Linked DNA regions of Xenopus tropicalis. The protein of the gene in region 1 purifies or fractionates together with the protein of each later gene. This does not show direct contact. Links are inferred from orthologs where the notes say so. Each region holds a gene or a part of one and is shown on either strand. Other genes may lie near its edges.

Region 1 (3,390 bases):
CATGATTACACAACTTCCAGTAACAGAATATTGTGTGTATACTTCTCTGACTTACAGGAATTTACAAGCTCAGGATCAGCGAATGCAGAGACTAACAAAGTTGCTGGCAGCTTGGAAACCAAATACAAATGGGCAGAATATGGCCTTACTTTCACAGAAAAGTGGAATACAGATAACACATTAGGGACAGAGATCACTGTAGAAGACCAGGTAAATATCCTAATTTGAGATAATTTAACTCTGGAACTTGTGAGTAAGATATGTCTTACAATTTAAATACATAATATGTTTTCTCTTTAGCTTGCAAAGGGTCTGAAGCTGACATTTGACTCTTCATTTTCTCCTAACACAGGGTAAGAAGAATCTGCACTTAAATAACTGAGAGTTTTTAATTATATACAGCCCTCCAAGGGGAGCATGAATTAGTAGCTGGGGGACCCAGCATGAAAGATTAGGGTAATTCCACATAGGGCTAATCAGGGGTGTAAACGTATTTGCTGTCCTAGCTATCCTTGTAACTGGCTGAATAATTACATTTATAGAACGTTCAGCATAATCAGATAACCAAAGGCCATCCACACCATCCAGTTCTTTTCAGTATCAAATTTGCCACTGACAGGCAACAGGGATGTTCCTAGATAGCATAGGTTTTTAGCTCATCTGGAACTGATTTGCCAGACTCCTTATGCTTGCTCAGCTCCACTGTAAATTTATAGGACTACTGTGAGTGAAAATAGATAGGCGTAAAGCTTACAAATAAATTATGCATGAGATCTAGGCAACATTTAAATCTGTATAGTGTAGTGGAAAGATGGCTGAAACTCTGTGTGGCTTTACTAGCAAGAGGTATTAATTATTTGTGTTATTATTAGTTACTGGTAGGATTACCTTTTGCTTTGATTTTCTGCCTCACACAACTTAGCAAGTTTTGCTGGGTTACACAAACACTTCAAAATATTGAAAAAACAGTGCATTTCACTGGGTTAAACTAATGTGACTTTGGCAAACAAAAAAGCTTTATCCAGATTTGATCCTCGCTGAATACTGGGGAGAGCTTTTGTGTAAAACTGATATGTATATAAAACATATCTTAAACAGGCGTGTAAACAGATGGGGTGGGGTGGGGGTGCATGCTTGACACCCTTGGTAGCCAAAAGACACTTCCTCAGAAGCATTAGCACCAAATTATAGCATTAGGAATATTTAGTAAGTCAAAACACACAATATATATTATAAAACAGATAAGGGAATCTATTCGCTAATAATAATTCCTAATACCAATTTATTCTTTTCTCAAACTATATAGAAAGAAGAATGCAAAAGTCAAGACTGCATACAAGCGAGAGCACCTTAACATTGGCTGTGACATGGATTTCGATATTGCTGGCCCATCAGTGCGGGGAGCTGCAGTGTTTGGCTATGAGGGATGGTTAGCTGGCTACCAAATGACTTTCGAATCCTCAAAGTCCAGAGTCTCCCAAAGCAACTTTGCAGTTGGATACAAAACTGATGAATTTCAGTTGCATACCAATGTGTAAGTCAAACAAAACATTTCTTGTATAAGCAATTCAGCACAATGTTAAAACTTTCACTGCTAATCCACATAAACATTTTTGTGATCTTTTACTTTTACCCTGTGGGGAAACATTTTGTTTTCCAAGAGATTTAGTTTGAGTCTACAATAGCTTGTAAAGGTAATGGTAATAATGAGAAAAATGGCAAATTGTGAAACACCCACAACGATGAACAATAAACAACAGTGCATTATTAATAATGTACTAAATATCCATGAATTCTAAATGTTATACTAATCAGCCAAGGAATTGCTTCTACTGTTGCGAGGGGGTGTGGACAATTGCAAATCATTTAGTGAAAAAAAGAAATAGCAAAACATTGTTGTGGTCAAATCATTGCCCTGACTATTATGAATGAATACAGGATTATCCTTTTATTATCTCATACTAATAAAAACAATTAGTGGGGCATTAACCCCCTTATAGGCTGCTGCTAGTTAAAGGTAACTAAAATAATACATTTTCAGTGACATATAAACCTGTATCGCAGAATTAAAAAAAATATATATATGACTATAATAAATATGCATATATTATAATATGGTTAAGGATTCTGAAATGATATGGGTTTTAACATACAAGGGGTCCTACTGCAGAGCATCTTATGGATTGTGTATATATATATATATATATATACTGAAACAAGCACAGCACTCCTAGGATTTAGGGTCTTATTCATAACATTCATGCACTTATTTTTTTGCCCACAATAGCATTTTTTATATTTTACATAATTAAAATAGACCAAAAAAACTATAAACAAAGACACATCTGATTTAGAAAGCCCCATATCTTCTAAGTGTAGCAATACCAGATATGGATAGTTTACCAAGATTCCTGAATGAGGTACCTGAGATATTTTTTTGCATTTGGTCATATCTAAGCATCATAGACATTTGACATAGACTTTTTAATAGAAGATAAATATTGTTTAGAGAGGTTGAACTTCAACCCTAAGTAACTTAGACTCGGCCCATATAAAGCTGACAATATAACGTATATACAACGCACATGTGCTAGGGTTCATTTCATCAGAAGAACTAACCTTTCTCATGTTTTTGGCTTGACCTAGAAGTCTGCACTAGCAGACCCAAATTTTGGTTTTAAAAAATGAAAATTTGGCTCTTAAAGTTACCAGAGGCGGCTTTTTGCCAACCCTAGTAACTGGCTGCTCACTGCCACCTGAGGCAAGGTTCTCACAGGAGCAGCCCAAATCAACCATTTATTCCTCCAGATTTTTCTGCTTCCTGGTAACTTACTTATATGGACAGGGACACCAGAGCAGCTCCATACCTGTGGAATTCATTTGCAGAGAACAGAGGCACAAAATACATTCTACAAAAAAAGTCCTCAGTTCCTGCAATGACATATCAGCCTTGCTGATCCTAATTATAAGTAACACGTTTTTATCTCAGTGAGAACCATTAACATAACATTTCACTAACATACCGATTTTATATGTTGTGTCTCGCATATCCCTATTTGGATTGTAAGCCCTACTGCATTGTGGGCCCTTTTGCATTGGTTTTTTATTGAAAAGTACAGATCATTTACAATGTTGCAGAAAATGCTGGCATGTTTTAAATTGTCCAGTAATAATAATATTTGTGGTATATTGCCAACAGAAATGACGGTACAGAGTTTGGTGGTTCTGTATATCAGAAGGTTAATGATAAACTGGAAACTGCAATCAACCTTGCATGGACAGCAGGAAACAGCAATACACGCTTCGGAATAGCAGCCAAATATCAAATCGATAGTGATGCTTCGTTTTCAGTAAGTACAAACAATGAAGCACATCTTCATAAACTTCATC
Region 2 (3,500 bases), on another chromosome or scaffold:
AGTAATGCCCTGTATCCCAGGCGGGTGGCAGTTGGGGGGGCCCCAGTCTCTGTGCGGCCCCTGGCACCGACCCTTCCCATATCAGTTGCCAGTGTGGCATCTCTGCCGCTCTCTGTCTCGTCACCTTGTTGTACTGGGAGGTGACACATACTTCTGCCTTCCTGTTTGTTTTGGCAACGGCTGGCAGCCATATTATCCCTCTGCTCTGGCACAGCCGGCGTTCCCCGCTCACACTCCGTGTGGGTACCTTACGCAATCTGTGGCCATTTTGTACAGCCGCTGTATGGGAATAAGTTCTGTGCTCGCTGTTAGGGTGCCCCCACCCCTGTGTAGGAGCTGCCAGGCAGGATTATAAGAGGGTGGGGCTAAAGCTACTCCATTAAACAGATTTGCCCCTGTATAGGTACACAGGGAGGCGTTACACATGGGCAGCTTCGCCCACTGCCGGTGAATGGGGTCATTGAAGGAACATAATGCCGAGTTGTACTGGGTTACACAGTGCATAGTGTGTGTGTGTGTGTGTGTGTGTGTGTGTCTTTCCTGCATAGGAAAACAAGGGCACACCCATCTCTGGGTGCCATGTTGGGAACCTCTAGGGGCGCTGTTTCACTGGGGTCTCAGAGTATGGCAAGGGACAGAATGACCTATGTTTTGCAGAACATTGATAGGAAAGGCATTAAAATAAATTGGGTGAACTTGCCCTTGACACTTTTTTTTTTTTTTTCCTCCCCACAGGCCGGAAGAGACAAGTATGAGCCCGCAGCTACCTCTGAGCAGGGGGGCAAGAAGAAAAAGGGAAAGGGGAAGGATAAAGACATGGATGAGTTAAAGAAGGAATTGACCATGGTAAGTGGGGGGCATCTGGGTCATGATGGGGGATTCCCAGTGAGAGAGAGGAAAAGCCTGGGGGGGGGGGGGGCTGGATCCCTTTCCCCTGTAGGGGGGCTGGTGTATCCATTGTGCCAGAAATGAACCCCTCTCCTTCTCCCCTTTGCAGGAAGACCACAAACTGAGTCTGGATGAGCTGCACCGCAAGTTTGGGACGGACATGCAAAGGGTAAGTCATACGCTTGTGTGATTGGTCAGTGTCTCTAAGGGTCCAATGGGGAAATGGATTGTTCATTCCCTTCAACATTCTCCTTTCTGTTTCTCAGGGTCTGAGCACGGCCCGGGCAGCAGAGATCCTGGCACGAGATGGACCCAATGCCCTCACCCCGCCCCCCACTACTCCAGAGTGGGTGAAATTTTGCCGCCAGCTGTTCGGGGGGTTCTCTATGCTGCTGTGGATTGGAGCCATACTCTGCTTCCTGGCCTATGGTATCACTGCTGCCACGGAAGAGGAGCCAACGAATGATAATGTGAGTGATTGCTTGTTCTGTACAGGGCACTGGCATGGAAGTCTTGGTACCAAAGGCTGACTCTCTATCTTCTTCCCTACAGCTCTACCTCGGTGTTGTCTTGTCCGCTGTCGTTATCATCACCGGCTGCTTCTCTTACTACCAAGAGGCAAAGAGCTCTAAGATCATGGAGTCCTTCAAGAACATGGTTCCTCAGGTGCAATTCCTTTGCAATATGTTTGCCCTGGGGTGGGATCATATAACCTACCCCTCTTTCCTCCTGCCCTGCTAAGGGGGCAGAACACCAACAGTCTCCGCTCTCTGCTATGGGTTAAATACTTAGTGACGTTCCTGGCTAATTGGCCAGACTTTGGTGGGAAACTACAGATACAAAGTACCTGCCCCCTGGGTCCTAGTGATGGCAGCACCACATTTACTATGTTATACGAGAGCTGCAGGGAGTTATTTATAGTACTTGGCTTGTAATGTAAATATGTTACTGTATTCTGGCCCCTCACTCCCCCCCCCCCGTCTTCCCTTGGTATTGGGTTTCCCCTGTGTCTCTGACTTAATGGAGACTTCTCTGTCACACAGCAAGCCCTGGTAATCCGAAACGGAGAGAAGTTGAGTATTAATGCGGAAGACGTGGTTTTGGGTGACCTGGTAGAAGTGAAGGGAGGAGATCGGATACCTGCGGATGTTCGGATCATCTCCGCTCATGGCTGCAAGGTGAGAGCGGGGAAAGTAAAGGCTGTTCCTCATGGAATGATCCATCACGTACACACAGGCAGGGCGGGGGGGTCCTACACATGGGAAATAGTGGGGTTTCCTGTAGTGCCGCACACACCTGACCCAACTTCTACCGTAGGTGGATAACTCTTCCCTCACTGGAGAGTCCGAACCCCAGACCCGCTCTCCTGACTTCACCAATGAGAACCCACTGGAGACCCGCAACATCGCCTTCTTCTCTACAAACTGTGTGGAAGGTGAGATGTCACGCCTGTGTGAAATAACCCGACGTCCTTATTGGGCACCCGTGCAACTGGAGCAACGTTGGGTGGGGGCAGCAGAGGTAAAGGATGTTCATTATTTAACCCAACTCTTTTCTGTCTCACAGGCACAGCCCGTGGCGTTGTCGTCAACACCGGTGATCGTACAGTGATGGGCCGTATCGCTACTCTGGCCTCTGGCCTGGAGGGAGGACGCACCCCCATTGCCATTGAAATTGAGCATTTTATTCACATCATCACCGGCGTGGCGGTCTTCCTGGGGGTCAGCTTCTTCATCCTGTCACTCATTCTGCAGTACACCTGGCTGGAGGCTGTCATCTTCCTCATTGGTATCATTGTTGCCAATGTGCCAGAGGGACTGCTGGCTACTGTCACGGTGAGTGCGGCTGACTGTCTCTCAATATAAAGTGCAGTGTGTAAGTGGTCGCTCTGAAGCCTGGCTGTGCCCAGCCCTGGGCACCAAAAGGAGGACTGGGCAGTTATAGTGCCAAACACGAGCTTTTCCTGTTCCACCAGATTTTCACTGGCCCCAGGATTCATCTGACCTTTTTTCCCCCATTTTAGGTTTGCCTTACACTGACCGCCAAAAGAATGGCCCGCAAGAACTGTCTTGTGAAGAATCTGGAGGCTGTGGAGACTTTGGGATCCACTTCCACCATTTGCTCCGACAAAACGGGCACCCTGACACAGAACCGAATGACCGTAGCCCACATGTGGTTTGATAACCAGATCCATGAAGCCGACACCACGGAGAATCAGAGCGGTGAGTTGGGCAGCCGTGGGCGCTTGGTGGTGTCCTACTGCTCCTGTCGCTTACTGGAAATTGGTTCTCTTTTATGATTGGCTGATGATTTTGGCTTTTTTTTTTTTTTTTTTACAGGTGCCTCCTTCGATAAGAGCTCCCCCACATGGACAGCCCTGTCCCGGGTTGCTGGATTGTGCAACAGAGCCGTGTTTCAGGCTGGACAAGAGAACACCCCCATCCTAAAGGCAAGTTCCTCTCCACCATCGTGTTGCACCCCACCCCTGCACCGAGAACTGGTTGCACCCTGCATAGCTACGTCTGACTTGGTGCCTTCAGACAAATGCTGTGCTGGCTCAGTGTTATAGGAAAGGGTTAAAGAGAAACTCCTCCCAAAATCTCTTCTAAAGC
Region 3 (3,284 bases), about 690 kb from region 1:
AAAGGTATCTGAACATTAACGTGGGACTTGTTATGACTCAGTTAAAAACATGAATTAAGTGCTAAATTACACCAGTGGATTACTTGTAGCATCCAATCAGCACTGAGTTTTGAACTGACTACTACTACTAAGTCAGAAAACAAAAGCAAAGCTCTGGTTGATTGTTCATTTCTCATTTTCACTATATGCTGCAGATACATGGTTTATCCCTTTTTAGTGGCATAGATGAATAATGCTATGACATTAACATTCCAGGAAATCAAACTTGAATGACATGTGTATGTGTCTACACTGTCTGCATTTGACATAAGTGTCCGGCTGTCAAAGGGTTAAAAATCTTTGCATTTGCTTTAGCCCCCTTGAAGGATAGAACTTAGTTTTGCCTTTCAAATGTATGAATTTTGGAGCAGATTTTGTTAACATTACAAGCAGAGATATCAACTAACCTCTTGGTGGTAATAGTGATCAATTCTGGGTATTTTGAGGCCTTATTTAGGGTGAAGACACACAGTGCTACTAGTAGCAGCTACTTTTTCAAGGCTACTAAACGCCAGGAAATACCCTGCCATAGACAATACTAAGAATTGCCTCTGCTAAAACATGCGTAGTGACAATTATCAGTTATCAGTTGTCTTTCTTAGTAGCCACAACAAGTAGCTGCTCAGCTAATGTTAGAGTAAATGGTTTAAAAAAAATCCAGGACTGGATTATTATCACTTTGGGTTATGTATAGATTAACCCGATTTGATTGCGATGACAGATTGTATTGTGATTTGAAATAATCTATTAAATAGGCACACTAATAATGTTACTCTTTTAGAGAGAAAAGAGTGCAAACGTGACCATCGTGGACACTGCGGGCAGGAAACCCCACAAAACGTAGTTCATCCGAACGTGACCTGTGATGGATGTGATGGGCCTGTGGTGGGAAACAGGTTCAAGTGCCTCATCTGCCCAGATTATGATCTGTGCAGCACTTGTGAGAAAAAAGGAATCCACAAGGAACACAACATGATCATGTTCCCTACCCCACTGGTAAGCTCTACAGATATATTATGAAGAACCACTGAATTTCATTTCTCTAATGGTATTTATTGGAATGGAATCATGTTTTTATATAGTAATTTTATCAGTTAGCTCTGTTAGGAAATTAGCACCTTGGATCTTACACATTGTTTAGTCTATCACATATTACATGTTAGTCTTATTGCACATAGTAATTTAAAGCTGAATTATTTGCTTTGAAAAGTTCTACCTTGAAATACTGCAATCAGTCTGTTTTTCAGGTCTATCCGCGCAGCCGTTGGTTCCGTAAAATGCATCATGGAGTCCCTCCCTTCCCATGGATGCAGGGCTGGGCCTATCCACCCAGAGGATACCCCTGCCAAAATTTTCAGCAGGCCCAGGAAAGCACCCCTCCTCAGAATGAAACCCCAGCAGAGGAAGGTAAACCTGTGCAAATGAGAATCTCTTTGTATTAATGTTATTTTAGCACAAAGAATACTTGTGTCCTTAGTTTGGCAGCCCTCTCAATGCCACATTTCTGTGCAATATTAACTTGACCCATAAGTGTACAGGTGGGGTCCAAGTGATAATCATTAAAGCCAGTGAAGAGGTGCTTCTCAAGTAATTATCATTAAAGTCAGTGGAGAGGAGCTTCCCAGTTGTCTGAAGTCTGCCCATCCATCCACCCACTGAAATGGAAAACACATGGCCATAAAACTGCTGGGAATAGCCCTTTGTGCCAGTGCACGTAAGGGCAAAGGCTCATGGAGCTACTATCCAAAGGGATACTTATAACTTCTTCAAAGCATTATGGCTTTCTGAATGAACAATGCAAACACAAAGCAGGGGCTTTTGTTTTGTGGAACGTGAACTTTTATAGTTGTTGTCCCTTAAATGGAGGTTGCATGATTTAACTTTTTTACTCCTAGAGGAAATGGTATTGTACTTTAAAGACATGTATATTTTCTATGAAAAGGTTAAAATACTTATATGTAATTCCTTTTTGAAGTGAATTTGCCTTAGGGTAATGGCATAGAACATTGGTGAGTTTTGAGGAATTAAGCTGTAAACTCAGTTTGATAAATCTGCCCCTAAGCCATGTGTGATGCTGTATAGCAATAGCATAATAACAGCCCTTTTCCCTTCCAAAGCTGCAGCCACCAGTGACTCCCAGTCTTCTCAGAATCCCAATGTTGCCTTCCTGAAGAATGTCGGAGAGAGTGTGGCTGCAATGCTGAGCCCCCTGGGTAAGTGCCATTATTAAATTGACATTGTGGGGACCATTAATTATGCATTAAGAAAATGATAAATGTCTCCATAATCTAATACCCTATTTATACTGACTTACGATTAATCCTGAAAGTCCTAAAAAATGATTGCTCTCTTTCTTAAGTCCTCTTTGATTCCTTGCAGAAATAACCCAGCATTTTTTTGAAGGATTCGGTTTTGACTGAATCCACGGTCCCGGCGGAACCGAATCCTAATAGTATATAAATGAGCCTTTTCTGTACTTTCCTCAGGCATTGACGTGGACATTGATGTTGAGCATGGCGGAAAAAGGACCAAAGTTTCAACTTCACACCCCTGTTCTGTGGATGGGGACTCGCAGCCAAACAGCTCCACTTCCTTTACAGAAAGCCAGGATATCGCCAGCAGATCTGACTCGGCACCTAATCTCATGGAAACTGAGCACATCGCAAAAAGAATGAAAGATATTGCACTGAATTCGCCTCTTCCACAAGACAATGTGAGTTCTTTTGTGCTGTCTTTACCTAACATTTTTTTCCATGGAAGATAATATATGATAGATCTCAGTCATGCTTCCTGTTAGAGATCACCTCATCACCACAGGGTGTCTAACCCCAATCCACTGCTTCTAGGGTCACAAACTCTGTCTTAAACTGAGTGGTATGTGCATTTCTAGGGGGAAGGGGGGGTAAACCGTTTTAAGAGATTGAGCTGTAATCAAGATGTACTTCTTACAGTTTATATATTTATATAATACAGAGCTACAGTACATTAAACATGTTACCTGCTATGTTTACATCAGGAACAAGGGGAAAATAGCAGCAGTGCTTCAGGGGGTGATGATGACTGGACCCATGTCTCATCCAAAGAAGTTGATCCCTCCACTGGTGAACTTCAGTCCCTTCAGCTTATGGAGACAGGCCAGCCGTGTTCCTTAGATCCAACCAGATCTTCTGCTCTGCCCACACATGCACCTACAGGGCTTAGAGAAGCTGCTCTTTATCCACACCTCCCACCAGGTAATCTATTTT

What was found.
Region 2: the proteins of vdac1 (region 1) and atp1a1 fractionate together in Homo sapiens (co-fractionation; 3 studies listed by BioGRID, with this or other methods). This does not show direct contact. The link is inferred for Xenopus tropicalis from reciprocal best matches to the Homo sapiens genes VDAC1 and ATP1A1.
Region 3: the proteins of vdac1 (region 1) and sqstm1 purify together in Homo sapiens (affinity purification with mass spectrometry; 3 studies listed by BioGRID, with this or other methods). This does not show direct contact. The link is inferred for Xenopus tropicalis from reciprocal best matches to the Homo sapiens genes VDAC1 and SQSTM1.

What each region holds. Positions count from the first base shown.
Region 1 is NC_030679.2:22,887,148-22,890,537, forward strand, and holds part of vdac1 (voltage-dependent anion-selective channel protein 1), read left to right. Parts: intron 1-57; coding exon 58-210; intron 211-300; coding exon 301-353; intron 354-1,306; coding exon 1,307-1,534; intron 1,535-3,199; coding exon 3,200-3,350; intron 3,351-3,390. UniProt on the Homo sapiens protein: Non-selective voltage-gated ion channel that mediates the transport of anions and cations through the mitochondrion outer membrane and plasma membrane.
Region 2 is NC_030678.2:1,064,509-1,068,008, reverse strand, and holds part of atp1a1 (sodium/potassium-transporting ATPase subunit alpha-1), read left to right. Parts: exon of another isoform or gene 1-505; intron 506-735; coding exon 736-846; intron 847-997; coding exon 998-1,057; intron 1,058-1,154; coding exon 1,155-1,358; intron 1,359-1,440; coding exon 1,441-1,554; intron 1,555-1,931; coding exon 1,932-2,066; intron 2,067-2,205; coding exon 2,206-2,323; intron 2,324-2,454; coding exon 2,455-2,723; intron 2,724-2,911; coding exon 2,912-3,110; intron 3,111-3,227; coding exon 3,228-3,337; intron 3,338-3,500. UniProt on the Homo sapiens protein: This is the catalytic component of the active enzyme, which catalyzes the hydrolysis of ATP coupled with the exchange of sodium and potassium ions across the plasma membrane.
Region 3 is NC_030679.2:22,199,356-22,202,639, reverse strand, and holds part of sqstm1 (sequestosome-1), read left to right. Parts: coding exon 1-4; intron 5-820; coding exon 821-1,035; intron 1,036-1,255; exon of another isoform or gene 1,256-1,274; coding exon 1,275-1,446; exon of another isoform or gene 1,447-1,452; intron 1,453-2,156; coding exon 2,157-2,252; intron 2,253-2,525; coding exon 2,526-2,752; intron 2,753-3,037; exon of another isoform or gene 3,038-3,055; coding exon 3,056-3,272; intron 3,273-3,284. UniProt on the Homo sapiens protein: Molecular adapter required for selective macroautophagy (aggrephagy) by acting as a bridge between polyubiquitinated proteins and autophagosomes.